Lepisosteus oculatus: one gene and its partners. The protein of the gene in region 3 purifies or fractionates together with the protein of the main gene of each other region. This does not show direct contact. Links are inferred from orthologs where the notes say so. Each region holds a gene or a part of one and is shown on either strand. Other genes may lie near its edges. The genes, in order: znf326, snrpd1, sf3b1 and srsf1a.

Region 1 (7,905 bases), on a different chromosome or scaffold from region 3:
GTTTATATGCTTAATCAGAAGTCCTAATGCAAGGTGACTCACAAAACAGATTAGCATCCTTTCAATTTGTGAACAATGAAACATCCACGTATCACCTCTTTTTCTTCCTCAAGTCTGAATATCACTAGCTAATGTCCAGTGTGTGCAGCACAGGAAGACAGCATGCTGAATTCAGAGCCAATACCTTTTCTTTTACAAACCAGTCTTCCAAAATAAAGTCTGGAAAATGTGATTAAAATTATGTCATGAAAAAAACAGTTTGTCAGCTTGGTTTTAAATAATATCCATCTAGTCTGACAGTACGATGATAAAGCCATGTCTCTTTAAACTTGTGTTTTTTTTAACTTTAAACTAATCTTTCTGGGAGTAAATAAAATATTTCATTTTCACAATACAGAAATACAAGAAGAAACTAAAGAGTTCTATTTATGCTTGTAAACTGTGAAATAACTAAGCAAAATCAATTTTCTTTATGTACATATTTAGGGAAAGAGCAAATCACATTCAGCTTGTAAACTCCGTTTACAACACTACAGTTCTGTCTTGTTCCATGACGTGTAAACATTATACACAGACATGGAAAAAATACTATCCTTTCAATGCAGCCTGAAAAACAGAATAAACGTTTCTGTCTTGGAAAAACTAGAAATATCTCCTACCTTTCAAGACTGTTTCCTTCGAAGCTGTCAAAGGGCCTTGAGACCGGGCCTGCGTACCTTCTCTGGGAACAGCCATGGCTCATATCTGCAGACCAACAGAAACCAACAGCACCTTTATGTTACAGGGATAATTTGTACTGCTTCCAGAAAAATCATGTTTATGTCACACAGCACCTTTAATGACAATGTCACTATGGTTCTCCCAGAGATAGAAAAATACATCTTTGGAACCACTGCAGTCCCACATCTTCAAATTAGCACACTGTACAGTTTTAATAGGCTTTAATAAGACCTCATTTAGAACAGTCACTTAGCCAAGACTGGAATAAACCTACATACAATTCAGCTACACTAGAAGATAAGAAAAACCCATCATAGGGTTACTTGTTATTTTTTCCCCAAGTCCAAGAAAGTTTTCAGGGAGCAAAGACAAGATGAGTCAGGAAGCGTGCAATGCTAGGCACAGCAGATAAAACGTGCTAGGCACAGAAGGAAAACTGTCAGTAATACAAAGTCATGCAACCACAAAGCAGAAACTTCAAATTAAAAAGCACACCACAGGTCTTTTTTTTTTCCTCCAAAAGCTTCAGCAAAACTGATGTTTTTTACCAAAATATTTAACTGATAGCACACTCTTCAGTGCACAAGTTTGGTCACATTATAAAAGAGAGATTGCCGAGTCTTAAAAAGCTGGACAAGATCCTCAGACTGCTTGGCTACAAGCAACGAACAAATGAGCTAAACGTGTGGAAGGGCTTCCTTCATCTCTGTAAACTCTCACATTCCTGAAATGCAGCACTCGAAGGTTCTCACCTCCACTCCCCAAGGGTGATGTCATCAGGTCTTCTTTTTCCGAGTACCTGCGGAGAAAATGTTTGCTCTTAAGTTTGCATGTAGAAGAAGAATAAAAACCTCCGTAACCTAGATAAAATAACATGCACTATTATTAACAAAACCTAGCTCCTAACTGAAGCACAAGCTAATGACATTACACCGAAGCACACTCACAACTGGGACAAAACTCGGCTTTAAAGCATCGAGCCTGGGCTGCAGCAGTCATAATATTTCACGTAACGGTTCCCTGTGCGCTCGAATTCACCTTTCAAAGGAGTTGTACGGTTCTAGGGGTCTTGGAGCTGGTCCTCCAAACCGTCCTCTGCCATTTCCACGAATCATTTCTGTAGACGGAACCATGTCAGCTATGTTAACTGAAGGAGCAACAACAAAGACACCAACTGTGATGGTATGAAAGGGTTTTTCAAGAAACCACACCCCACCCTTTGAGAATACTGATATTTAAAAACACCTGAGGTGCTATAGGTCCAGCAGATCTTATACGTCACCTCTAAATAATAAATTTGTGAAGACTTGGAACACATCGGTTTTGAGCAATTTAGAAAGTTCAATGGTTCAATCAAGGCAGCAGTGGAATATTTTAATTTCATGACATTTTCGTGATTTACTTATTTCAACAAATCGCCTGCAGAAGGGGACAGAACGAAATTCTGTTCCAGCTGTTCAGGCACTGGGATCTGAGGGTGACCCACAGAGTCTGCTGGACTGTGGTTGTCCAGGACCTGGACTCCCCACCGGTGAAATATAAAACATATCACCTTATAAAATACTAAATAACTGTTTCACAAACCACCAGTAATCATGTCACTATTGGGAACAAATATAGTTATCTGTTTGGTTAATATATTTAAATACGTATAAAATAAATGTTAAAACACAATAGACCAAAGAGAACCATAAAGCTAGGTCTAACTTGGACACACCCTAGTCTTCAAAATACGATTACAGTCAAAAGCGTATGTTAGGTTTAAAACGCATTTGCATGTGGTTATAATACAAGTCTTTAAATATTTAAACAGGCATCCGATTGCATTATGAATCCGCTTGTGTAAAACTGGACGTATTCACCACGGCATCCCAGTACAATAGGTCGGAGGAGCGTCGTTTTCCGCAGAACCAGTTAGTTACGAATTATTGTCCGCCTCTATCACTAAATCAAGAAATCAATAGCTTCGTGTAGTACAGTTTCCCAGTTTCGTTTTTCACCATGAAATTATTGGTAGACGTTCCCACACATTTTTCAGTTTAATCATATTCAACAAAGGCCCGGTGAGCTGCGCAAAAATGAAAAAAAAAATCGCCCGGCACACATGAAATAAAACATGGATATGGAGATATATAAATATCAAGAACATTTAATATTGTTTTAAATTCTAGAAAGCGGCACACTTAAACATGAGAAAAATCTGTAGCATGTTCAGTATTTACCTGCAACATCCAGATGCTATTCGCCCCCTTTGTTGTTCGTGTTACAGACAGAAAGGTCCGGCTGGAATTGCGTCTTTCACTTTTCACGTTCCGGGCTACAAAAGCGTAACCTCAGAGCGTTAGAGCTAGACGTTATGTATCAGAATATAAATGTGAGTTGAAACCTTTACTAGCTGTCAAACCCCTAACTGCTTGACTGCTTACTCGTCTACCAAGTTCATATTACGTGCACAAAGGTTTTTAATTTGTAAATACCCATTCCTGTTTTAATCAGGGTATCGATACTATGGATTCTGTTCTATGTAATAACAGGCAAAGACTAGAATTTACTACAGACTACAGAAAATTGATGCACTTAAAATGTAATACTTCATGTGTTACGTTTAACGAAAGTTGTCACTATTTCATGGACCATGTTAATAAAATAAAAACTATAATGATCAGAAGTCTACCAATCCTATTTTTTAAATGAGATCAATTTCAAGGTTTGAAATTCGTGAGCAAATTTTGTGAATATGGATTTCAACTGTCGTATGAGCCCGTGAACAAACCCCTGAACACGCTTTAAAAATCTCGGTTTTCATTTTGTGCATTTAATTTACTTTTCACTAAGAAATTATATTCGCCGTTTTTCCCATTAGGGGGCGCTCTGTGCTTCAGGAAAAATACACTTCCCAATGCTTCTTTGTGATGGTCCTTTGAGCAGGTCCACCTCGATAATTGCTCCGTTGTTTCCAACATGATCTTTAAATTAGATTCCTCGTCCGTCCAGGCAAATGAAGTTGACGAAAAGTTCTTGGAAACTAGTTCCACCTGCACTGAAGGCCTATATTTTAACAATAAGTAATAAACGCTCCCTTCTCCTAAAGGCTTTTTAAAATTCAGCTGTTCATAAACGTAACAGGCCGTTTGTTGACGATATTTCCAAGCATCGAAAAAACAGGATGAAATATAGTGAGGCACTTTAAATTAAACATTCGTCTTTAAATTAAACATAGTATCCGTTTACACATATTTTAATGAACAAGTTAAAAGGAGGAAGCAAATCACAATTTAGTTCTTTTTAAATATTGTATTAACGAAATACATTTTTAAATTTCCTAGATTGGAATCATTAAATATTGGTGGCATCTCTACACAGCCTAATAAGAGGGAACCTATATATACACAAACATATTACACGTGCCACGGTATTTCTTAACGTGCACAACTTATTTTGTTGATAAGGTTATAAGGTTAAACAATATCCTAATTGTCGGGCCATCGACAACACTGAAGTCAATGCGATGCTTCCCAGCTTTCACGTTCTGCACAGAATTGTTAATTAGCACAAATCACAGAACTCAAATATTCATGTTTTTAACGCATTTATTCTTCCAAAAATCTTGCAAATTATATACAGCATTTAGAAAAAACAAACAGAACAAGAATTTACTGGAGAATTTCGTTAAAATACATTTTTCAGATTATTGCAATATGCCGACACTTTGTCCACGGTTTGATGTCAAATCAGAAACTTCAGACATCCTGTATACTACACGCAGAGCTACTGCAGCATTTTTTATCAAATGTGCACAGGTCATCCTTATTCCTTGAAGCACTCAGTGGGGACACCTTGGAAGCTGAATGAGTCCATTTTGCTGCATTCATTTCAGACATACATGATTTACATAAATTAAAGAAAATATTTGGTGGGCCTTGGTATACACAAGAACACCATAAGAAAAGACATTAATTTTTGGTATAAAATCAGGTAACTTCAAATCATTATTTGGCCACACAGTTATGCCTCACAGAAGGGATTATTGGGTTCGATTTATCCTGATATATTTTACTTATGTTATTAAACAAACCGTGCCCATAGTTTTTATTGTACAATAAAAAACAACCTTTTATATTGATCCTCAGAAACAAAAGTTTTATAAGTACAATAAAAATGAAGTCCTTCCCCTAGTACTTCCTTATCAAGTTTTCAATTTGCAGTTGCTTTAAATATTGATACCGTATGGGTGAATGTCAGAGCTTTTACTACACTAAAAACACAAAGAAGCAAAACAGATTCAAAGCAAAAAATACTAAACTAAACCAATGAGCTTGCTTGTATGGAGAACGTATACTGTGGGCAGAAATCTAGAAAAGCCAGTTCAATCTTTGTCCTATTTTGTTCAAATTCTTACACTTAGAAGTGTGGGCTAAAAGTCCTACTACATCCTCAAAGACAAGCAAAATGTCAGTAAAGGCTCGTCTGTGCGAGGGCCTGGTCTGGTGAGGCTGGAAACAGAGGGGATATTGTGTCGCGGTGTCAGATTTCCCAGGCAACAGCGCACTCGGACACAGAGCGGGGTCCTTCGATTCCGGCGGGTCCTGCACTTCCAGAGGCCCTGGGGCTGTCACACGGACACACCTGTTCCACGGGCCCAGCGGAGCGCCATGGAAACGAGAAGCCATTTGAAAGTTTAACAAGGGTTAACAACGTCAAAACCAGTAACAAGCAAAATTGGTTTATCCCAGCTGTCAGATCTAGCTAGCTTCAGGAGGACTTAATGAGGGATATTTAATCACAGGACGAGCAACAAAGTCCCTGAAGGGGAATGGAATGAGAAACACGTCGCTATTTCCTCCTCTCCTGGCTCTCAGGGTAAAGCTGAATATTCACTCACATCCGCCTGGATTCAAGTCACATCAGGCTTCCACTGCATTCCAAGCACAGCTCAAGAGCTGGAGCCTAGAGGCCTGTTTTTACATTGCGGGGCTTATTTCAGTCCAGACCGAGTAGAACAGGGAAATCAGTCCGTAATGAAGCTCTGTAGAGAGACTGTCTTGTTTACTGAAGACATAGAACAGTGTATGTGAGCTAGATGAGCACAGGTGAAATGATAAAAGCTGATATAAAATGATAAAAAAAAGAGATAAAATGACGTTTTTGGTCATTCGCACATAATAGTAAGCCTCGTTTACCGAGCAGGGATCATGACAACCCACAGCCTGTGTCTGACTTACGGCTTGAAGATTATGTTTATTGTTAATATTAATTACATATTTTATTATTTTTAAACAACCACTGAAATATTAACTGACCACACCCGGGTCGTCTTTGTCCGATTCAAAATGAAAGCTCTGTGTAAAGTAGTCTCACAAAAATATCGAGTGACATAACAGGCTCTAGGGTTACTTTACCTCTTTTGGCCCCCTCTCCACACCATGCAGAAATAATTTCTGTTGTTAAATATCTATTAAACGCAAGACGCCAACAAGAGATAGTCCTATACGTAGGATGTGTGACAGATCTGTATCAACACTTAGCACTGCATATTTCGCCTACTTTTAGAGCATGAACTCTCCTCACAGAAGGTATCTGTTCATTCAGAGATATATGCTGTTCATGGGTTACCTTTTGCATACTCATTAAAATGTATTGTGTTTTTTTGGAGGGAAAATGAAATGCCTTATACATTCCACAGTAACAAAAACACATTTTTACTCAATTTAGCATTAAAAAAATCACAAAAAATGTACAAAAAGCCTGACACTAGACAATTCTTAAAGCTTTATCATTCTCAGAATGGATGAATACTATCATTGCCCTGTCTGTATACATTACCCTTTTTATTAAAACCTCACCACACTCCTTTTCCCAAAGATGTATTCTAATCAACTGCTGCCATGTGCAACTTAATAACTGAACTGATTTGGTTTGTTCACACTTCTTCTTTAACCCCTGAACTAAACGTAAAAATGCCACTGTTGAAAGAAATGTGATGCTTCAAGTGAATTATGGCGCTTTGAGGACGAAGTCAGCATGCTTTTGCTGCACTGGTGGTTCGGTCCTGAAAGCGCTGTAGCACAGGTTGTGGTGTGTGTATTCATGAAGGGTCCTCCAACCTGAACCATGAGGACACACTGCTCAAGAGACCTGCTGCCATACTGTTTGGAACATGAAGGACACCAAAGGAGAGGACAACAGCCATGTTTTCTCTCCCCATTTCCTAAACGGAACGGTGCACCAGGGTTACAATGGTAAATGCTAGCAGGTTTGCAGCACGTGTCTTTGGCTCTCACCACCGTGCACACACCAGGAAGTTACATCAAGAGCTCTGAGCTACAGGGGCTCTCAGGCAGATGAAGCCCACGCAGGCAAGTCTTTAAAACCGGTTATTCTGTTGAAAAGAAACTCCGAAACTTCGGTGCGGCCAGGGAGCCAGGTCCCGCCATGCTCCGGACCTGGACAGAGAGGATGGCGACTGGACCCGGAAGCGGTCAGCTGTGCACTGCCCCCCCCGCAAGCCGCCGTGACGCCACGGAGGCAAGCTGTGTTAGAGGAGCTCACCGCTTCTTCTGCGACAGTACAGAAACAGAACGCCACCACAGCAGGCTGCAGCCCGACGAACAGTGACCGACCGAATTCTGAGCCAGGTGGTACAGGTACTGTCAGCTAAGAATCAGGTCAAGCACAAGGAACAGAAAAAAACGTTTTAACAAAGCAAACTCAAGTTTGTGAGCTATATTCGGATATAAAGCTTTTTAAAAGCAGATTACAAACAATAACTCTAATAATCTTAAAGCTTGGTGATGGAGCCCCCTCAGTGAGACAGCATAAAGCTATGAACAGCACAAGCATTGTAAAACAAATCACTGGTCTTTTTCTGAAAAAAAACATATAAAATGGAAAAGAATGACCAGAACTACTTTCTTCAGCAGCTATGGGTTTCTCTCCAGGTTTCCAGACTTCAGCTGCTTTATTTTTTCTTTCAGACATGTAGACTGTTTGTCCACAAATCCTGAAACAGTGCCTGTACTGTCACTAATACCCACAACCCCACTTATCTTGTGTGGAACAGGCAACGCTGCAGTAACTGAAGTCTTCAGCATGCTAACTGGACCCTTCTTGATCATGTCAACTGACTTCCTACAGTTCAAACCATCAGCTAAGTCAAGCTAAGACAAACCTCCCATCCATCAGATG
Region 2 (8,005 bases), on a different chromosome or scaffold from region 3:
GGCTGAAGAAATGCATTAGAGATTGACCAATAATGTTTAAACCCTCCCTGTGCGTTTGCACACAGACAACTTACAAGGGCCAAGCCTGGATTCATCAACAGGCCCCCAACAATACAAGCCAGTCCCACAGCTCAATGCCAAGAAGATCCGTCTCGCTTAGCAAGACACTGCAAACACTCCTCTCCATCAACACATACAGTACAGAGCAGTATCTATCCCACCCAAAGGAAAGATTAATTGTAAGTGTTAAAGGTTAAACAGGGCGCCATGTTATCAGGAATATGGTTTTTATTAGATATAAAAAAACAAATGGGAGATCATCCACAACATTTTCCTGCGAAATAAAAAAAAAACTGTACAGACAGCCTCTGCCGGAGAGAGGGAGAGCACTTGCAGCAGCAGCAGTGAGCGAAGTTATCTCCTCGGTCCTCCTCTGCCTCGCCCTCTTCCTCGGCCTCTGCCCCGTCCCCTGCCTCGACCGCGGCCGGCCACTGCGAGAGAGGACAGACACCAGTCACCCGCCGTGCCGCCTCACGGCCCAGCCCAGCCCGCGAGCGGAAGAGCAGGAGCGATGCACACCAGTAAAACAGCGAAGGGGGTTACACACGCCGAGGAGAACCTGTCCACTGTTTGTGCAGACGTCCAGATACCACGGAAGAAAACCGAGCCGCTCTTTAAAGATACCGTGAGGGTTAAGGAAAAGGGGCACAGAGACTCTCAATCATTACATCCACATATAAACTATTTTCACGCAACTTCCTGGGAATAGCTCAGGAAGTAAACTCTCGTTATAAACTACGACAAGTACAAACCCATATTACCACACCTGAAACGTCTGCTATAAGATGACTTTAGTTTACTTTAAGGTTTTGTCAGTATATAAAACATAGAAATACTTTGAAATGCCTCAGTTTTTTTGCACCCCAGTGAACCACCCCAAAAAAAACAAGCAGAAACTTAACTTCAGGCAATGAATTACTATGATGGTTTAGTCTTAGCAAACTGATTTCATTTTCATCTACATAAAGAGGCACCAAGAACGTCTAAGGCAGTTCCTAGCACATGCAACAATATTTTCTTGGTTTACACTCTGAGCTTAGGAAGTTGAATGTATTCAACCAAACAATGAGTCTTAACTGAAATATGATTTTGTACATGAACCGCTGCTCCAACTGTCCTTTCAAACAACCTCAACAAGAAACCACACATAGGACAATTTAAACCCAGGAACAGGAGACACTTCATTACCCCAAATACACCAAGGGTAGCGGGAGTGTGGAACAAGCCGGCCACCATGTTGATCAAGCCGATACCCCGGCTTCTCTCGAGAAACCTCAAGAAGAGATCCTGACCTCCTCTCTTTTGGGAATATGCTTAAGTTCTTATTTAAAACTGCGTGAAGAAACGCACTTCTACTCCGAAGATATATCTGACTGCTGAGGAAAAGCATCTTCTCAGAACTCCTACCTGCTTCCCTCTTTTTGGACTTGACCTTCGGCTCGATGTCGACCAACAGGGTGTCGAGAGGCAGGCTGTCCGGCAGGATGAAGTAGCGGATGTTGTTTCCACGGATGCTCAGCGTCTCCAGCTGGACAGGCTCCCTGTTCTTCAACGTCATTTTCACAGCTTTCAGGTGAGTGTTCATGCACACATCCACCCCTGCGCAGCACACGAACACGGGAAAGGGGGTGAGCTATCCTACTCATGGTCGCACAAAGAACACTTGGTTTTCTGACCAATTAGCCCACCTTTCTCTCCTATGACTGGCTGAAGGTTAAAGTAAATCTGGTATGAATTCGCTGTCGGATTGACTTTTAAATTGATCCCCAGCACACAGGACACGCATTGAGGTCTGAACAGGAAGCACCCCCAAAAGATGGCAAATACTTTTATCCCCTGCACCGGGTGATCCCTGACTGCAGGTTATTGCAGCAGGCAAGTAAACAGTTTTTCTCAGGGATCGACTATCCTTAAACAGAGAGATGCCCGAGTATCACCCAGCAAAGCCAGTTAGTACATGCTCATGCTCAACACATTCGTGAGAAGGGAAGCTGTTCTGGCGAGGGATAAGCTTCGTGGATTTTAAGGATCACTGGGGCATGGAGCCTCTGCCCGGCGGAAGATCGATCAGATCTTTTCCCGGGCTCGGAAGGACCCTCCATCCAGGCGTGCTGCGAGAGACAGCCCGTTCCCGTCTCGAAACGAGACAAAGGACCGGATGGTCCAGCTCTCCAAACCCACAGCGTTACTGAGGGAAACCGACCCAGTGGGCTTCTCGAGAACAAACACCGCAACAAGAGCCGATCCACCTACCAGTGATGGTGCCGTGGACCTGAGTTCCGTTCTTGAGCTCTATGGTGACGGTTTCATGGCTCAACTTCATCAAAAATCTGCAAAGGTGGGAGGGAGAGGGGAAAGTCAGTGCATAAAACACCCGTCAGGTAGCAAGAGGGACGAGCACCGTCCCGCACCGGGAGGCTAACCAGGAAAACCGAGTCGCACCGACCGGATGAAAACACGTCTCCGGCGGGCCGGCGCTCCTCTCCAGCACGTCTACGGTGCTTTGTGCGGAGAAATTAAAGAGCCGCGCTGGGACTCGACTGACCCGCCGCTTCAACACAACCGACAACAGGCGCGGATTTCGGATTGCAGCAGCCGACGCGAAACGGCGTTTCTCCCTCCCACCCCCTGGAAGCCGTTTGAATCGGCCATTCATTTCACCCCTTCCCGCCTCCCGCGTCTCCCCGACGCGAACGGCGCTTTCTGGAGCTGAAAACAACCCACAATCTGACTCCATCCTCGGCAATCCCTGCGCTTTTACACCCTTTAGCGACGCTGGCCCCAAGATCGAAACACCCCGAAACGTCTTACCGCACGAGTTTCATGCTGGCGGCTGATGGCGAGAAGAAATCCCCCACCGGAGTAAGACAAAAAATTATACACGAAACGATACAGCGACGCTGGGCCGTTCCGGCATTAAATCGGAAACTGACTCGGAAGTGAAAGGCAGCGGTGACCCGGAAACGCACCGAAGGCGCTGAAAGACGCAAAGAGGGGCCTCGGGCGTGGGATGGGGATGGGAGGCTCAGCACAGCGCCACCGTGTGTTTCATTACTCAGTGGAGGAACAAGAAGACGGCGCCCTCTTGCAGGGTGTCTGCCGAGGACGAAGCTGGGAGATTCGTTTCGTTGCTGTGGGTGGAAACGTGTTATCGAAAATAAAGCACAGTGCACTAGTGTTTTCGAGATGCGTTTCCTCTCGAAATGTGGAAGAGCCGTTTTTACGCTCGTAGGTCTTATTACTCGTCTATGCTGGTTGAAACACGGTGCCAAGGGGTAACAGCGCCCATAACTTTCAGGTGATGTGCTTCCACGCCAGCAGCTATAAAAGCATAAATATTTGCCTAACCCTTCCTCTGTGACTGGAAACTTTAAAAATACCTTATTGCCATATATCAGTTGTCAAATGTTTATCAGTTTTACCATGTAGAATACATTTATTTTCTGTTGCAGCTTAACGTCTGTTCCATCAAGATGGGGCGAAATGGCACAACCATGCAGTTATTATTCTCTGCAGTTATTAAGGACTATAATGAGAAATTGGGACTTTTTTTCCTGTGCAGTTTTGAAACGACCACATTAAACTTGCTCTATTTGTTTTAGATGTGATGATTCCTTATAACGAGCTTGTCACGGCTGAATCGCTTACAAAACAAAAAGAAGCCAGGTTTTGGGCACACACAGAAGACAAATCAGAAGTAAATGACTACAAATGTCTGTTTTTCATGAGAATTTATTAATTCTGTCAAATAAAACATACCACTTAAAACATGGAATGACAGAAGTGAGAAAACGATATTTTGGTATTGCAGACAGCCACAACAAAACATTTTTAAAAATCATTACAATTTTGAACACACTGGAAATATTTTTTCTCTACCCCTTACCTTGAATACATTAGGAAGAGAACTGGCTTCTTAGTATTTATGCACAGCAGACATAATAGGATCCATTCTATCATGATGGCTAGAGCTATCTTGACTCTTTTGTACTCAGCCAAAGCAAATGGTAATAAAATACTTCAGTAATTAGGTAATGGTCATTATATTATCTTATCCACTCTCAAAAGATATTAGATCAAAGCAGACAGGCATATAGATGTGTGAAAAGCATGGTACTTGATCTGTCAAGAAAGAAAAAGCAGCAAGCATGCAATAAATATACAATGTATAGTCAATGATGTAGCATTTGGATTAAATCGTGTCACATGCATGGTGATATGGCCAGGGTTATAGCCGTCATTAAAAGTTTCTACTTAAATTTAGATACAAGATACAACTGTAAATTCCAAACAAACAGATGAATTTCCTGCACATCAAGTAACCTGGGCACATCCATGCAAATCTCTTGCCATAACCATGTTAACCTGACATAATTTGAGAATTTATTCACTTTGGACGAAAGTTCCTGCAATGATCATGCATTCATTCTATGACAATGGAATTAAAGCTGTGGCAGTTCCATTTCTTTAAAACAAGGCAGAAAGCATACAGTCCGTCAGCGATACAACTGTGCACCGTCTCCAAACTGGGCATGTGCAGAACAACACTGAACTACAAATGCAAAGCTATAGATAGAGGCTCTAGTCTGTAAAGCTAGTCTCAATATCGGTGCACTGTACATGTACCGACTGCTCAGACTTGTGGATTGAAACTAGAACATCTTCCCAAATAGGTTTGGATGTACAAAACATTTTAATTTTAACTTGCAGTGTTGAAGTTACAATTAAACCATTATTTCATTAAAGATAGGTGACCTTTGCACTTAGTTTAATCAAAAATTACCTTTAAAAGACTACTCCCATTTTCATCCCTGACTTCTACTGTATTTTATAACTATATAACTCTGTCCATGACATGTAACCGCAAGAGGAAGAACAGGGGTTTGTAAAATATGAACGCTAATAATATACCAGGTTTGTCATTATTGAAATGAAATCCTTATTCTTCATTTATATGAAAATGTTTTTGTCTTACATCTGAATAATGGAATGGTTTCTCAAGTTCATTACAGGAAAAGCACTAATAAAACAGCAATGACTGAAATAGGAAATGAAACAGATGTTGATCTATTAATGACTTTATTGCAAAGTTAAAGACAGCCCTCCCTGTAAAACACTAACCAAGTGTCAATATTTAGAAATCAACTAAATCTAATGAGACAAAGTGAAATATAATATCCCTAATCCATCTCTCACATTATTACCAAGGTAAATATACAGAATGGTGAGCATATCATCCACTAAAAGGACATAAAAGAATGATCAGAAATGATTTTACCAATATCCACTACATCTGCACAAAGAGCTGTACAACAACTCAGGAGTCATATTCTACAGTATAAACAGCAATGTTCCCTTTAAGGGCAGTAAAGCATTTGATCCAGATGAATTGACATGTTTTGTAGCAGTCATTGCAATACAACATGAGTTTTAATATTGTTTTCTTTCTCTAAATTAAGTCTACCTCAACCACACTGGAGCAAGTCATTTTCAAATATAGCTTTGTATACAGAGATGTGTACTGTGTATGAAGTGCAAGGAAACTGTCCAATACATAATTACAAGGAAATATTTTACACAATAAAAAAAAAAAGATCTGAAAGTCATTTGTATATGTAGACAAAGATCGCACTGAAAACAAACTTGAGGGGGAGCAGGCTGGTATTCTTTTAACCTACGGGTGGATCTGTACCTCTGTCCACCTAAAACACAAATCCCCACAACTCTTTTGTTTTTCTATTGAAAGTATCTGCATCATGTTAAAATGCTTTTTTTTAAAAATGAAGAATTTCCATGCAAAAAAGAGTAAAAGTAAGTTGTAGGTTATTTGCACCAAAGGTTAAAACAACTTGATATCTCAAGTCTGTGATTTCCTATTTAAATTGCTAAGGTACTATTAAGAAAAAGCTGACCTGGGGAAAAAAGTACATACAGTATAATGAATGTGTTAACACTGTTAATATTTTATGGTTTGGACCACTAAATTAAAAGTGGAAAAACACATACAAGGCATGTTAACCAATTATACATTCTCTGATTTGTTAAGACCATCCTGAAGCCCACTTATCAGAAAGAAACATTATAATTTACATTATTAATATATACCATAGGTCTATCAACACTTTCCCCATTGTTCAACAGCTTGTAAGGCAGACATTCAAGCTGAAATCTGATTAACTGCAGAGCTGAGAGCACAATACAACAAGACAAAACACAATGACAATGCAACCAGTCAAAACCCAACCCAGTGGTGTTAAGTCCAGCAATCAAACAGAACATTTGCAAAAGCAGACAGACCAGCCACACTAATGTGGCACTTTACATGGTTAAAATGATTTGGTCCGATGGGAACTTTATATGATCTTAAATCTGGCAATGTTAATTTTCTACAACTTAAATTCATACCCAGTTTTGAGGTATGATGATTATTGTCTCAAAGGTTCTAGCAGCAAATGTTATTCTTCTGTATTTTGTGTTACTCCTAGGAACTTTACTTCTTGTTAAAGAACTTACAAAAATAATCTCCTACAAAGTGACTGTGCAAAGAACAAAAATGTTCAGGCAATGTTCAGAGACACCTGTGAAACCTCACAACTCTCAGGAGTTTGGGATTTTCCCCCACACAGGAGCTCAAATGTAAAAGGACTGTTTTACTGGAAGATTATAAGGTATAAGATGGTGAAAAGGGAAAATGTATTCCTTCTTTCACCTTGATTTCATTCTGGTTTCCTTTCCTTTATTATTTTGGACAATCATGCAATTATTTTTTGTCAATAAGGCTTTTTGGTATATCCTCTTCAAAGTAATTAATTTAGTTAAAACAAAGTAATTACATACAGACAAGGAAAACTGCACTTTATCAAAGTATTCATGTAATTTCTACCGGGACACTACAAATGTCTTCCGTCAGTATGTTAATTAAAAAGGGTGTTAAACCAGCGACAATGCATATACTGAATGCTGAGACCATATAAAGATCCCATTAAAGGATGGAATATAGTGTTCTCGATGCTAACACTTCTTTGTAGATCTGGGTTAAGGTCCATTCCCAGTTCCTGTTCAGGGATTGTGAAAAAGAAATTGGAATTGGGAATTGATTTGAATCTGAAAGAGTGAATCTGGAAAAAAAACCTGGAATTGACTATGGCCCTGTTATACACCTTGTTTGGCGCAAAAGCCAACCAAGACTGCAAATTCTGCTCTGTGTAAGAAGTGTGGGAATTGCAAGAGGAGAATAAGTGCTGCGGTACAATCTGCTGGAATCTGAACATCACCTGTAGAAGATGCTGCACGTGGGTGAACAGCAAAACGGAGCGGTTATTTAAATCTCGGACGGTGTCAGACACTGAGGAGGGGTTTTGTTTTCCGGATGTATGACGCTTCTTTTAGATCCCCACACCCCCTAAAACACCCAAAGACAGAAACTGTTTCTTGATGGTAAAAATAAAACGAAAGAAAAAAAACCCAACGCTTATGAGGATAGCCTCCTGCCATGGTGTGGAGAGCAGGTCAGTACAAACTCCAGGCCTGCAGGGAGGAATCGCGGTAACCGATCTGCTTTCCACACGCACACATTCAGTCCATCTTCTCCTTCTGGACGAGCTTCGGGGCATCGACGAACTCCTTGCCGTTGAAGAGAATGATGGCTGCGGTCCCGAAGCTGGCTGTGCCCCAGAACAGCACATAAGCCAGGGTCTCCGTCCAGGTGTCACCTGCAAGCACACAGGCGAAAGAGCGCAGCAGGTGAGAAGATCACGCACGACAGAACTGCAATGTCTCAGCTGCCCTTGCTGATCAGAATCCGCACACCGAAGTGCTCTGAAGGTTAGCTGAGACAGCTCAGACTAATAATGTACTTTCAATAATGTAATAATGTAAGCCCGTTGTAATACAAAGGCCTGGCCAAATGTTACTGGCCTCTTTTTTTTCTTTCACTCTTAAAAAA
Region 3 (7,141 bases):
CTACACACTGGTGGCGCTTTGAGTAGTGTGCAGAATAAGTATATTACCGTTATTAACAACACGAAGCTAAATAAAACGGGGGGTGACAGCGAGCCACCAGAGGTACGGACCTGTTCTGCAGACTGGGGGATGTCGTTGAGCAGGGCCACGGGAGCATGGTACCCCGGCTTCTTCTGTCCCAGCAGGCTGGTGGAGGAGTCTTCCTCGTCATCCTGCGACCAACACAGAAAAAGCAACAACCTCATCAGTCCGGCTCTGCGGCAGCCCGCCTCGAGAGGAGACATGACACCACCTCCAGCGCCGACTTAAACATCAAACAGGTACGCAAAGGAACAAGGAAAGGTTTCTTCCACGCTGGAAAGGGGAGAAGAAACGGCGGTGAAGGCCTTCTTCGGGTGATAAAGAAGGATGGTCCAGTTTCTTTTCTTCTCTCTTCAGCATGGAATAAACTTGTCCTTGTTTGTTTGCAGCCTACGCAGCTCCCTGCTTGAATTAAACCCAACGGGTATGTACACTTTCACAAATCTTACACGGAAACACGAGAGAGTCTGCAGAAACACTGCAGGGCCACGCTACACACAAATCACAGGGCACTTTGCGTCTTGCTGTTCTAAAAAAAAAGGCATCGGACTTGTAACCGATGACCGTCAAAATACCTGAAAACATAAAGAGATCCTGGGAAAGCACACACAACTGAACGGATAGGGAGGAGCATCAGACCTTGGACGACTTGAACTGTTAAAGATCGTGCACCGGCCCTTCATTCACGCATCGCGAGTTAGCCTCGCGAAGCAGAAAGTCACGATCGCCATTTCTCCCCACAATAATAAACGCCGGGTTCCCTATTTAAAAAAAAAACAACTCACATCCTCGTGCTCGTTGGCGGCGATGGAGGTGACGTAGCCAGTGAAGCGACTGTCGCTGCCGCCGTAGATTTCCTGGTCGTAGTAGCCAGTGGAGTCCAGGCCCACGCCCCTCTCGCCCTCCTCCAGCAGGGCCGCCTTCATGCCCTGGATCTCCAGGATCTGCGCCTCGATGTCTGAGGCAGGCAGGCAGGCGGGATGGGGGGGAGTTGTGAAAGCAGAGAGGAAGAACCGGATCATCAGAAAGAGCACAGATGAGGGGAGGCCACTTGGCCCCTGGCCATTGCCCACCCCAGCAACAGAACAACAGAAACATCCCATCCTGGCCCCTCCCTCCCCTCAAAAACAAAATCTTGTTTTTTAGCAAAAACCCATGCACACAAGGCAAAATATGCGAACTCCACACAGATGGGTGCCCCCATCTCAGAATCAGATCCCAAATCACGAGGCACTAATGTCCCTCCCACAACATCACAGTGCCACCACACCAACAGGGCGCTGAGCAAAGAGACTTCGCTTCACTTCATATTTCACTCTCTCAGCACATCACACCCCAGCAAAGGCTCTGATCCCAACAATCACACCTTAACAACTGAGCCTTGAATGTGCATCGGGAATAAAGAATGGTCATTGAAGCGCAGATTTCAGAACACACCGAGAGCGGATATCAAGTCGTAACACCCACTGACACTTGTACGACAACATACGCAACGCCTGTTTTGTACTTCATGCTTGCTACCATGTTCTCAATAACATTTACAAAAAATAAATTTACACGACCAAGGCCTTCTGACAGAAAAGACCTTTGCACATGCCACTGAAGGGGCTCAAGATGGAAGATCACAGTGGTGTTTAAGCGTCTAGTGGCGTGCAGTACAGAAGGAGGTCACTGCCCAGGAAGAACAGGAGACGCTCCAGGGTCAAGACTTCCCCAATACAGATGTAACGGTACAAGCTCTTAGCATAGCATCAGCAATTAACAAGACAAGGTAAGGGAGGCTTCCCGCGGAGCTGGGCTAGCTCTGCCTCGAGTTTAAGCGCGACTCGTAGGACCGGCTGGACTGTGGCTCTCCAGGCCCAGCGCTGGCCACTCCTGCCCGCACCTGCGCGGAGACCGCGGTGCAAAACCACCCGATTCCCATCTGAACCGGATACCAGACCGCAGCCTGTTTCACGCCAACTATTTCGAAGGGGGGGGCGGCGGTTCAGGGAATCGGGTGAATTTAACCCGAGAGCCGGACTGTTAGCTCTGGCAACGCTGCGTCAGGGACCGAGGACTTGGAAAGTTTCAAACTAGCAGCCTAGACCAGCCTCGTTGTTGAAATGAACGACATGTTGCCCCCCCTGGGGCCATCGACAATTAAGATACTTCACGGGCAAATTTAGTTCCATTCACAAATGCACCCGAGAGGCGAGCCCGCATGAGCATGACTTTGGTCGCAGCTTGTGCACAGCTGAGTGGCCCTGGCTGGCGTAAACACTAACACGCCATTTTTATTCAGCCGGCGCTCGCTGCACCGCGCGTCTGATGCCAACAAACAACCCCCACGCCTCTCGAGGGGCGATTACACGAATGCCCTCCGTTAAAAGACGGCCGAAACGGATGAGCTCGCCTGAGCATCTGCTGTTCTTTCTGTCTTACGAAACGATGCCACATGTCCGACGGGCGCCTCAATGCGCATTTCGGAATCGTAGGGCTACCTACCGAAAACGCGCATCACGCAGTTCCCAATCAACCCTTTATACATTCGCGTGCAGCTACGGATATCTAGTCTAAAATTACGCAGGTTTTCGTTTTGGACAGGTTAAAAAACAGCGTCGTTTGAAATCATAAACTCCCTGCGGAGGCGAGTCTGCGGGCGCCATTATCTCTCTCTCGGTTCACAGAGCGATCACACTGCGCGGCCGGCTCCCCTCACACTCGACAAAAAAAAAACACCTAAACCTGCTACACATAACCCGACTCTGCTTTCGCAGGGTGCATTAGGATCTTAACCCATCCATATGAACGATTTACAGCGATTTACTTTGAGGATTTCCTCTTATTCTCCTTACCTTCGTGTGTTTTGGCGATCTTCGCCATTTTCGTAAATCCGAGAGTCTGTCCGGAAGGCCAAGCTCGAGCAACTTCCGCTCTCGCTCTAAAGGAGAGGTTTATGCGCCTGCGCAACGGGGAGGGGGGGTAGGAGGGGCTTAAGGCGAAGTGCTCTCGCGCTTTGGGTGCAAGACGCCACCTTGTGGTGTCCTGCTGTATCGCCGGGGTTCAATCTGTTAATTGAATAACAACGATGTTGATGTTCAGATCAAAGATGATCAGAGAAGACCGGCGCTCAAGCTCCACCAAAGAGATATTACATAATTAAACAGAAATGTGTATGTTCTAATTCATAATTAAACATAATGAACAGGTTTTTGAACCAGGACATAATAAACTAACCAGGCTCACACCCGGAGGCTGGATACACTGCAGAGCTAAATAACGAGTCTTTGTCTGTACCCCGATTGGTCTCGTGAATAGGGTAGTGAGAACCCGAACTTTTGTGTTCTCTTGAGTTATCGAACCTAAGCCCTCATCTGAACATCGTATCTGGTTCACAATAATTCACTGAGCATTAAACTGAGTGTAATCACTTACTGGGTCATTAATTCATAATTAATAATAATTGCTTACACTTATATAGCGCTTTTCTGGACACTCCACTCAAAGCGCTTTACAGGTAATGGGGATCCCCTCCACCACCACTAATGTGCAGCCCCACCTGGATGATGCAACGGCAGCCATAGTGCGCCAGAACGCTCCCCACACATCAGATATCAGTGGGGAGGAGAGCAGAGTAATGGAGCCAGTTCAGAGACGGGGATTATTAGGAGGCCATGACTGGTAAAGGCCAGGGGGAAATCTGGCCAGGACACCAGGGGGCACCCCTCTACTCTTTTCAAGAAACGCCCTGGGATATTTAATGACCACGAGGAGTCAGGCCCTCGGTTTTACATCTCATCTGAAGGACGGCGCCTGTTTACAGTGTCCCCGTCACTATACTGGGGCATTAGGACCCACATGGACCGCAGGGTGAGCGCCCCCTGCTGGCCCCACTAACACCTCTTCCAGCAGCAACCTTAGTTTTTCCCAGGAGGTCTCCCATCCAGGTACTGACCAGGCTCATACTGCTGAGCTTCAGTGGGCTGCCAGTTGTGAGTTGCAGAGTGATATGGCTGCTGGCTCATATATATTAGATATATTAGTATATATATATAGCGTTTTAATCATTTTTCTCTCCAAACCTAACCACTCGGGGTTTATTAGCATATTGTGCTTATTTTATATTGTAATCTCTTGTAAATGTTTGAATCCTATCGCCTTCCCTTAATTGTTAATTATACTGGGGGCCTTTATTACCATTAACCGTGGTTATGGTTTCTCATGAACCGTAAAAACACTTTGAAAAACTGCTTACAAACCATGTATTAGTATAAGAACGAAGACCTGTTGACATTCAAAGAATGTAAAAAAAAAAAGAGAAGATTGAGCGACTGACGCAGGGGGGACTGACTTTTACACAGTCACATTTCACGCACAATTAGATAACTCCCCGTGCCCTCACCCCAAATTTAGCCATAACCTTTACTTAGAAAGGCAGGGCGCCCGGAGCAACTCAATCCAGCATCTCGTGACAGGCCGGGGCACACAAACACCGCAGGACACACACGCGCCCCCCCCCTCTCCAATGACGGGCGGCTGGAGCCGCCAATGACGAGTCAGCGCTCCGGACCAGGGGCCAATCAGAGCCCCGGCCCTGCAGGGTGTGCTCGGAAAGGGGGGCGGGCCGTCGCTACAGAAAGTGTCGCCTGCGCTGGGCCTCACTTTGTTAAAGCGAAAATGGCGAGAGGCTGTAGGAGCCTGCGGAGAGCTGTTGCCGAATGTATCAATCAGTTACCGGCCGCCGCTAGCCGGGAGAGGCCACCCAGGAATGGCGTCAGGTAGGGTGTCACCTTTTTTTTTTTCCAAAAAAAAGTTTCTTCGCTCCTGCAGTCTGTGTAAAATTTCCGACCTCAAACTCTGCTGGGGTCAAGACGGTAAAACACATTCGCATATTTTTTGTTTGTTTGTTTGTTAAGAGCCGACATATGTTTTAACGAATGTGTACTCGCATAACATCTGCGTTTGTCATGGCCACTGGTTAGACGTCTTCGGAGTATGGAGATGTTTAAGTTCACGAAAACTCTGTGCACTGTGTTTTATTAAATAAAGTACTAACAGCAACATAAGGGACACTTTCGTTTTTAGATGATTTTCTCGCTTCTCCTTGAGATTTCGGGTGTCTTTGCAGCGTTTCGGTGAGTTTTAGCCCTGTGTTGAATAGTTTAAAAGTCGACAGCTGTATCGCTTGACTTGATTAACTGTGCGGAGGGGGAAAAACACTTTTATTTTTCCGGGTAGCTGGAGGACAGTACTTCGGAGAAATAGTTTTAAATCTGCAGTCACCTCTCGAGGCGGGTGGGGGGGTGGAGATTATACAAGACCTCTGCACGATTAAAACAGCTCAGGCGTACAGACGCCGGCCGAAACAAACAAACAATACAGTTATAATCAATTGCAAATATGGAAGACAGAACTGCATTTTTTTTCTAAAGAAAAAGGCCCCTCTCCAGAGTGCTAAATGCCGTGCATAGTTTCTCAGTACCGCATCTGGGAACATCTCTCTGGGAGAGCACGGTGCTGTGAATCGGTGGAGGAAAAAAAAAATTAACTAAACGATCTTAATCGCTTGTAAGATTAACGATCCGGATCAATAGATATACACGCCTGAGATAAGGTGGGGTTCTGTTGCGGTCAAGCAGAGAGCTGACGGCTGCAGGGACAAGATATCGCCGTCCGGTCGGTCCAGGCTCGGGCTAGGTCCGGTTCCCCTCCCCGGACCCCACGGGTCGACAGGGCTGCGGTGCCCGTGTGTGTGGGGGGCGGGGGGTGTAGTCTCGGTGCCGGGGTTCCCTTTATTAAAAAAACACAGCGGCTGGGAGAGGCTGTTACAGACCGGTCCGGTTAAGTAGCCAGTAACCAGCTGGGTCAGTTCGCCAGGAACCGGAAACGGCACAGAACCCCTCCCCCCGACCAGCGAGGAACACCCCTGGATCAGGGGCTCCGCACTTGGAATTTTTTTTTGGGGGGGTGGTCCTGGTGTTGTGCCAGTGGCCAAGCTTGACCTGCTCTCTCCAGCCCTGTGTGTGTCAGTAGTGACCCAGGGGGCAGCCGGGTGGGTCACTGCGTTTGTGATGTCGGTTGGGCCGATGGGGGGGACCCTGGCTCTGGGCAGCAGGGATGGGGGCTGCAGGGGCCCTCCGGGACTCTTCCGGGCCTCTCTTTCACTGGGGCTGGGGGATTGGGGGGACTGACTGGCTGGCTGACAGGACGGGGCCTTCTGGCGCTGTGAGCTAGAGGGGGGTCTTCTCCAGAGGTCAAAGGCATCCGGGGAGCCCCAATTTTACCATCCCTGGGGGGCAGGGAGAGCCGAGGGGCTCCACGCGGAGCTGGGGCGCAGGAAGAAAGCCCGGGTGTCGGCCGGGGCAGCCCTCAGGTGTGTCGGGGGGGGGGGGTGTGAGGCTGAGGAGTGCGGCAGCAGAGGTGTGGGGGGGGGGTGAGGACAGGAGCTTCAAAGAGATGGGAATCAGGCAGGCGAATTCCAGTGGCCGAGCGGAGCCGGGGATCTGGGAGTGCCCTGGAGGGAGGAGCTGATCGTTAGCGCGAGAGCCGGGGGGGAGGTGTGATCCTGCTGTTCGGGACAGCCGTGGTTCCTGCCCCGTCTGTGAAGCAGGAGCGGCGCCTGGTGTACTGCCGCAGGTGAAGCGGCGACTGCGTCTGATGTCTGTGGATTAAGGAGAACGGAAAGGTCGCAGACGAGGGGGCCGTTCGGTGCAACGTGGTTGTTTGGTCGTTCGGGGCTAAGTGATCCCGGGATCCCAAGCAGTAAGTTCTTGCAGGAATCCGGGGAATCCCCGTTGACAATATGGCTGGCCGGTTTGCTCCCTGAATGTGGTCAGCCATGTGTTTCCCCCAGTCCTGAATTCTGAAGTGTCCTTCTGCGAGATCTTCTCAGCTGTCCTGTGCTGCTTTTGCAGTGTTTGCTAATCCTCCTGTTTTGTTATGTGAGCCTGACTAGTTGATGAACTACATCACTATCAATGATCTACAGTGATATCAACAGCAGTGGTCCTAGTAGAGATCTCTGTGGTACGCCACTAATTACATCAACCCTGAATTGAATGATCATCACTGGTCTGTG
Region 4 (7,389 bases), on a different chromosome or scaffold from region 3:
GGACATCTCACTTACAAGAAGGTCCCAGTAAATGTCATTAAATCCAGCTCATTTGCTTACCTTAAAAGAAAAATCCAACATTTATGAACTTTGTATCCAATGCAGGTCCAGTTAGAAAACCTCAAACCTACCTCGTGTGATCTGAATTTAGTGTTATCCAGTTTTCGTACAGCGTAGGTCATATCTTCTTTGCGAACAAACTCCACAACACCAGTTCCATCTCGGAAAACGTCAGCATAACATACGAGAGAATCACTGCCACTTGGGAAGACCTCTACAAGAGAAGATGAGCCTAGCAGAGAATTGCAGACCTGATCAAAAGAAGCAACTGGAAGCAAAGCAGAAGAACCCAGATCAATACAAGATGAAAGATGCATTTGTAACTGACCACCCACAAAAAAACACTCACTGCATCCAGGTGGATGCTGCAAATTGGTGGTGGTGGAGAGGAGTCCCCATTACCTGTAAAGCGCTTTGAGTGGAGTGTTCAGAAAAGCACTATATAAGTGTAAGCAATTATTACTATTACTGCCCAATGACTAATTGTAACTGTTGAAATGATTTCACAGCAGTTAGAAATTCACAATATTGGGAAATATTTCCAAATGTGAACTTCTCTCTCTTGATAAAAAGATCATTCATGACTAGTATACTGAAGAATTGATAAGATAGAATCATTTGTTGCATTAAGAGTAACAGACTCCATTTGTACTTCATGCATAGAGATTTGCAATATCCAGTAGTGAGGCTTACCTGAAACTATGACTCTGTACTCCGATCGCCTAGAGGGGGGGCCATATCGGCCTCTGGGGGCTCCAATCCCCCCACCTCCGCCCCCTCTACCTGTGCCCCTCCCACTTCTGGGGAACTCAACTCGAAGGCGGTATCCATCATAGTCATAGCCATCCCGTCCGTATACTGCGTCCTCAGCATCCCTGAAAACAGCACCACACGCAGGACTTGAAGCTATTTCAGAAACCAGGGTGTACAAGAAGGAAAGACAGTGGATTTGTTTGCTGGTTAGCAAAGCTTAATTTAAACAAATATGCTTCCCCACAACAGCAGGAAGGCACCCTACAGTTTGCCAGGGGAAGACACGTGTATACAGGCGAACACCAGCTGCAGAAAGTACCTCGAGTATATTCGCATGTCTTTCAGTCTCATCCGCGTTTCCGGCGAGTCGTCAGCAGGTCCCATATCGCGATAAACCAAACCGCACAGCACGTTTTCATAACCGCGTGATATTATGAATTCGAAACTGTTCCATTGGCACTACTATCATTTGAACGTGCCCCCATGCACGAATAAATGTTCATTTTTCTGGGCAGCTCAGGAATAAAAGACACCAGGTGAGCAAAGTCGACGCATGAACTGTTTCAGACAAAGATGGGGTCAGGAATGAGGTGGGGGCAAACGCAAACTACAATAAAGATAAAGCATTTGTCGGTGAATGCCAGTATTCCAAATATTTCACCGCGATTGACAGAATTAGACACAGAAATCATAAGAAGGCTCCGAGCGCCGCCAGCTTCCTCCACTACAACAAGGCTGGCGGCGGTCGTCACATGGCGAGAAAATGAGCGCCAAACCACCACAATAGGGGAAACATCCTGCATGCTTGAAAAGTAGCAGGTGAAGCATGGTTTCACGGCGCTGTGAACTAGTATTTCCCCCCCCCATCTGGTGTTTAATCTCCCGAAAGTTAGGGGAAACCCCGAGGTTATTTTAATTATCGACCCCGTCCCTCATCTCCAGCGGAAGGAAACAAAAAAAAGTTTAACAGACGACAATTTGTATTTACAACGCTGCAACGGCGATCGAAAAGTTGCATCACTGCTTCAGCATATAAACCGGGGCCAAGAGAAAACTTTTTACAATCAACAAAGGAACAAAGACTCTGGAGGGTTTTGGGACCCTCGCCGCGTCGCGGGAGAAGCCGGCTAGAAGCTTATATCAGCACCATCGCAGTTTTTATAGGGCCTCATCGAAATTCCGAGTGATCTGCTCAGATAAGCTTGACCAACGCTCGGTACAGCTCCACGTAGCCAGGAACACGCGTGTGCGCCCTCGCACAGACCAGGCAATCGACTTCCAGCGCCCCGGCCACAGGGTACGACACCGCATGACCTGTAAGAGCCAGGCGCACGCTCAACGGGTCCTTAGCTCTCGACTTGCACAAGACTCCGCGCCCAATCGATGGAGAAAAAACAAAAAGGCATAACAAACGCCCCCCGAGCACAAACGAGGCAGGGCTCCGGGTGCCCCGACCACCAGGATCGTGCAGACACGGGACCCACCGCGCGCGCGCCTCCCCCTAGGCCCGCGCCGCGCAGGCCGCGCGTGCTGCCCACGGCGCCTCTCCCTCCTCCCTGCCCGGCTCCCTCACCTGGGATCCTCAAACTCCACGAAGGCGAACGGCGGTCCTCCGCGCCGGTTTTTCAGGTCGATATCCCGGATGGCCCCGTACTTGTAAAAAACGTCCTCGATGTCCTTGGTGCGGATATCTGGGGGCAGGTTCCCCACGTAGATCCGACAATCGTTATTCCCAGCAGGGCCCCGAATCACACCACCGCCAGACATCGTGCGAGGAAACCGCTCAACCGCTACTACCGCGACTTAAAACAAAAAAAATGACAAACGGCTAGCAGCCTGCCCGCTCACGGCTCACGTGCTGCAAACTTGATGCCCCGTTTATCTTCTAGCGTGCGCCTCGGTCTCCACGCACTCACTCCGCTCCCTGCCTTCTTCAAAATGGCGCCGGCTGTCCCAGTCGTTTGAACCGTCTTGCGCTGGCGGAGGAACACAACCGACCGAGCCCGCTCCGCGCTCTCCGGCTTGGAAGTGCACCTCCGACCTATAAAATAATCCCCTGTTTACCACTTCGCTGCGCCAGCGTGGAAAATAAAATTAAAACACCGAGTACGTTAAATGCCCACTAGGGAAAATAAATGTATAAAAGGCTTTGGCTTTTTCGATATTTTTCTTCCGCTGCTGCAAATAAAATAACGGAGGAACCTGTAGCGAACCCTGAACTTTTATGCTGGGGGGCCACACGCTACAGTGACGTCGTTTAGGTCGCGTCGCCCGAAGCCCCTCCTGCGCCAGTTTCAAATTACTATGAGTTTCTGAAAACTGAGAAAATGTGTTTTTTTTTCTATTATAAAATAGCGACTTTATTTATCGAAGGCAATGTACAATCAACAGACCTCATAATTTCAAATTGTGCAAAACCTACATAAAGTAGGTTTGAAAAAATAAGAGATTTCGATAGTATTACAATGCCTAATGCAAAAAAACAAAAAGATAAAAGACACCCTACAATATCAGTGTATCCAAGAACGGTTTAGTGTTGAGAAATCAGATTTCTAGGACCAGACGCCCAGAAACAGACATTACAGATAAATAGCTTGTTAGTCTTAAGTGTGCTGTGCATCACTCGCTTTTAAAAACTTGTTTGAATGAGACGCTTTTCGAAAGATGACTCCCAAATCTGAAATCGAAATGCAAACTATTTATTGCCTTAATCGGCGATAGCAATGAAAATGAAAGATTGAAAGCAGTTCCACAGATTAAGTGTTTTCAAGAATGTGGATTTTATTCACAGCTGAACTGGACGGGGGGGTAACCGTGTCCGTTAGTCTCTTTGGACAGCAGATAAAACCCCTCAAGGGCATCCAGGCTCCTGGCTTCTGTATAGACAAAGCACCGGCCACTCCGTGCGGGAACAGTCGGCCATTTTCTCTTTGTGTGCTCTCTTTTTAAAACTTTGTGGAATAACCGACAGTATTTGAAATAAGTTTGCTTGACAAACAAACAGAAATTTAAACACGATCACCCTCTTCACTGAGCCCATAGCAGAGTTATTGGTTGCTAAGCAGCAACAAACCAACACAAACATCAGCCTTAGACAACACAAAGAGCAGGGACACTTTCCCTGAACTGGAGAGGACTCACAAGTCACACTTCATCTGTGTTTGTTTTTATTTATTTTGATTCACAGAGATTCTGGTGCGACTCTTTTTGCCCCTCCAAAAATAAAAAGTACAAAACAATAACAACAACAACAAAAAAAACACGTTCAGGTCAAAGTTAGTAGCAGGCATGGGCCTTAACCTCACTCTGCAACACTCCATTACGTTGAAAACAAGGATTTCAGCACGAAATTTAAAAACAGCTCACTTCAAGCCTACGTCAGTGGCAGAGTGTATGGATTTAAGTTTGAAATTGGCCACTGAATGGAAAAGCCTGATTTTAATTCAGTCAACACTTGTATTTTTTTGTCGCAAGGGGCCCTGAGTCATTACCTTCCCATTTTAAAAAGGGAGCAGTAATGTAACAAATTGAAAACGTCTGATTAATATCTTAAAAATCTGAAACGCGTGTAGGGCCTTTTGCAGTTTCTCGGCTTCATGCACTTGGACACAGGCATGGGGACCGGGGCGACAGCCCGGGGCATCTGCTGTGTGAAACAGGCTGGCAGCAGGGTGCTCGTGTCTCGCCTGTGAGCCTGAGAGGCGCCACATTCCAGGCACACAACAGCACAACGGGGATAAGGGGCAATTCACCCCACCCCACCTCCCCACAACTCTTTTTCCCAAAAAGCCTGCACCCCTCCTCTTTTCCCAAGGCAGTTTCGGGAATATTGTCAGCTCCTGGGAATGGAAATACATTCCTGGTTTCTAGAGAGGATGAAGCCAGTTAAGAGGTCATTCTCTGCAAGTTACCAGTACAACCCCATATACAATTGTAAGCAGCATACCTTTGCAGCCTACGCATGCTGACGCAGCTACCCACCTGAACTACTACCTGTGCTGTATGCAGGCATGGATTTAAAGCCTGTTTCAACCACTATCGTGTACAGTCTTTCTTGGGTAACCTCTGTAGAAACATGCAGGTTTCAAGCAGTTTGTTTGTGCCTATACACTTTATTTACTTTCTGTTTAATGTCTAGGCTTTGATTTATTGCTGGGAACTGTAACTCTTTTGCCAAGGAACACCACAGGTGTGATATTTAAACTTTCTGCTCTAGGAAAGGTTTGTTGTGCCAACGAAGTCCCAGAATTCATCTCGGAGCTACACTGACATTCCCTTTCCCGAGAGTCTCTGTTTTCTAGTTTAGAAATAAAAATAATTGATCTTTGATAGGAAATCCATTTCATTCTCATGCAACAACACTGGCCGTGAGGTAATTCTAATTTCTACATTTAAATTCTTAATGTTATAATACAAAGAGCCGTGTTCATGTAGGGGGTTATTATCAAGGTGTTAAAGAATCTTAAAATATACCATCAACACAATAAATAAAATAGTTTTCACACAGATTTCTCTCTCACCCACTGTGCTTCATACAGCATCTGCTTAACTGTTCTCTTAATAGATAAATCCAACAATCAAGAATGTTGAAGAAATACCCCACAAGAAAACAGGTTCTAAGAAACACAAACAACAAATACTCAAGAAAACAACACAACCACACGCATACATATACTGATCCAGACAGAAATAGCATGGCATCCAGATCAATCACATTCGTACTGTGTTTACTGCCTCCACGTTCAACACATCCTGCCGGGAAAACCATCCGACAGAGGAGAGCGTTCCGACACCGAGTCCATCGCGGATCCTTTGAGCTGCAGGAGCGAATGAACAGACACGTCGAGCACCCAAAACGTCATAACGAGAAAGTCTGCGATCCATGAACAGCAGACTCGAAAATAATCCAGTGATGAGCATATTTCAGTGCTGGGCCCAATGCCGGTAGAAAGCCAATCCCCACAACCCTTCTGAAACCAGTGCGCTGGTCTCAACGTAGAGCAGACACCTTAGTAATTTACTGTATACAAAGGAACAGATAAAAGTTTATTCCATGTTAAAAGGGAAAGAGACAACATTTTGGCTGTGCAGCCTTCTACACTTTTCCATTCAGCACGGAATAAACCCTTTGCCGTTCTTTTACAGCCTACGCATGCTGACGTACCTACTCCAATTACTGCATGCCTAATGACAGGCAGGCTAGCTGCTTGCTTTGTGACGCATATTTCTATTCATGGTGCCAAGGGGACCGAGAAGTAGGACTTGAACCTTCCTGATCCAGGTGCGTGCACCGTTTGAAGAACGTTTCAAGAAGGTTTCGGGATGCAGTAGGTCTTACGCCCTGACAAAGCACTACCATGCCGGTCCTCTTCAGGGGAAGCACACACACACCCTCATTCTGTACAGTTCAGGCAGGGAGCTGCGTCAGCACGCGTGGGCTGCAAAGGAACAAGCAGAGGTTTATTCCCTGCTGAAAAGAGAAGAAGAAGAGAAACGCAACGTTTCGGCTGTGGAGCCCTCTTCAAGCATCAGAAGAAACGCTGCGTTTTTCTTCTCCGTTCAGCACAAAATAAACCTGGACTTGTTCCTTGCACACTCCGTAGATGCATGTATAGAAAACCAGAGGAGAGAGGTCAAGGGGGTCCACTTGAGGCCGAGCGGGGCCCCTCTCAGTCCCTCTTTGGACGCTGCGCGCGGCTCTGCCGGTACTCCTTGCCGATCTTGAGCAGCGACAGCAGGATGGGCACGGACATGGGCAGGAAGAGGGGGATGTAGATGGCGAACTTCTGGTCGTCGGGGAAGTAGAGGAGGTGCAGCAGGGAGGGGTCGAAGAAGGCTCTCTCCGAGGACAGGATGGCCTCCTTGCTGGACTGGAAGGCGAAGGCCAGGTTCCCGGCCTCCAGCTCGGCCACGGCCAGCTGCAGCGAGCTCACCGCGCTGTACACCTGCAAGCAGAGGAGGACCTCGCTCAGATCACGTCTTCCTCAACCAAGTGGAACAGCCAGCGGCTGCCGAAAGAATCCCACTTAACCTACACTTCAGTCAGGAGACTGGGGCAAGGAAGGAGTGCAATCTGTCCAGCAGGGGGTGCAAACCTGATCCATCTGTCAGTGTGGTGAAAAATCACTAAAAAAGTGGCCCTTTTCTGGACACTCCACTCAAAGTGCTTTACAGGTAATGGGGATCCCCTCCACCTCCACCAGTGTGCAGCCCCACCTGGATGATGCACCAGTACTCTCCCCACACACCAGCTCTCAGTGGGGAGGAGAGCAGAGTGATGAAGCCAGTTCAGAGATGGGGATTATTAGGAGGCCATGATTGGTAAAGGCCAGGGGGGAATTTGGCCCGGACATCGAGGTAACACCCCTACTCTTTTCAAGAAACATCCTAGGAGTGTGCAAGCTCCACACAGAAGGTCCAGTACTCGAACCCAGGATCCAGGAGCCGTGTGGCAGCAGAGCAAAGAGCCATGCAGGCATGCTGTGCCATGAGGTGTGGGTTCGGATTTTCTTCAATGACCGGCGGGGTCACGCTCACCTGCTCCGCGATGTGGTCGTCGATGACGATGTTGCCGAT

Evidence for each region.
Region 1: the proteins of sf3b1 (region 3) and znf326 purify together in Homo sapiens (co-immunoprecipitation; 3 studies listed by BioGRID and IntAct, with this or other methods). This does not show direct contact. The link is inferred for Lepisosteus oculatus from reciprocal best matches to the Homo sapiens genes SF3B1 and ZNF326.
Region 2: the proteins of sf3b1 (region 3) and snrpd1 fractionate together in Homo sapiens (co-fractionation; 5 studies listed by BioGRID and IntAct, with this or other methods). This does not show direct contact. The link is inferred for Lepisosteus oculatus from reciprocal best matches to the Homo sapiens genes SF3B1 and SNRPD1.
Region 4: the proteins of sf3b1 (region 3) and srsf1a fractionate together in Homo sapiens (co-fractionation; 3 studies listed by BioGRID and IntAct, with this or other methods). This does not show direct contact. The link is inferred for Lepisosteus oculatus from reciprocal best matches to the Homo sapiens genes SF3B1 and SRSF1.

The regions. Positions count from the first base shown.
Region 1 is NC_090704.1:1,170,333-1,178,237, reverse strand, and holds the start of znf326 (DBIRD complex subunit ZNF326), read right to left. Parts: upstream 3,004-7,905; 5' UTR 2,943-3,003; intron 1,838-2,942; 5' UTR 1,836-1,837; coding exon 1,759-1,835; intron 1,520-1,758; coding exon 1,473-1,519; intron 750-1,472; exon of another isoform or gene 745-749; coding exon 660-744; intron 1-659. UniProt on the Homo sapiens protein: Core component of the DBIRD complex, a multiprotein complex that acts at the interface between core mRNP particles and RNA polymerase II (RNAPII) and integrates transcript elongation with the regulation of alternative splicing: the DBIRD complex affects local transcript elongation rates and alternative splicing of a large set of exons embedded in (A + T)-rich DNA regions.
Region 2 is NC_090705.1:41,557,462-41,565,466, reverse strand, and holds snrpd1 (small nuclear ribonucleoprotein Sm D1), read right to left. Parts: upstream 3,009-8,005; 5' UTR 2,886-3,008; coding exon 2,872-2,885; intron 2,391-2,871; coding exon 2,314-2,390; intron 1,660-2,313; coding exon 1,468-1,659; intron 492-1,467; coding exon 415-491; 3' UTR 271-414; downstream 1-270. Other genes in the region: sacm1lb (phosphatidylinositol-3-phosphatase SAC1-B), read right to left, coding at 7,636-7,772. UniProt on the Homo sapiens protein: Plays a role in pre-mRNA splicing as a core component of the spliceosomal U1, U2, U4 and U5 small nuclear ribonucleoproteins (snRNPs), the building blocks of the spliceosome.
Region 3 is NC_090707.1:7,058,955-7,066,095, forward strand, and holds the start of sf3b1 (splicing factor 3B subunit 1), read right to left. Parts: upstream 3,013-7,141; 5' UTR 2,947-3,012; coding exon 2,919-2,946; intron 1,040-2,918; coding exon 867-1,039; intron 213-866; coding exon 111-212; intron 1-110. Other genes in the region: coq10b (coenzyme Q-binding protein COQ10 homolog B, mitochondrial), read left to right, coding at 4,741-4,841. UniProt on the Homo sapiens protein: Component of the 17S U2 SnRNP complex of the spliceosome, a large ribonucleoprotein complex that removes introns from transcribed pre-mRNAs.
Region 4 is NC_090721.1:9,632,235-9,639,623, forward strand, and holds the start of srsf1a (serine/arginine-rich splicing factor 1), read right to left. Parts: upstream 3,003-7,389; 5' UTR 2,581-3,002; coding exon 2,387-2,580; intron 936-2,386; coding exon 702-935; intron 256-701; coding exon 132-255; intron 1-131. Other genes in the region: pigs (GPI transamidase component PIG-S), read right to left, coding at 6,483-6,758, 7,351-7,389. UniProt on the Homo sapiens protein: Plays a role in preventing exon skipping, ensuring the accuracy of splicing and regulating alternative splicing.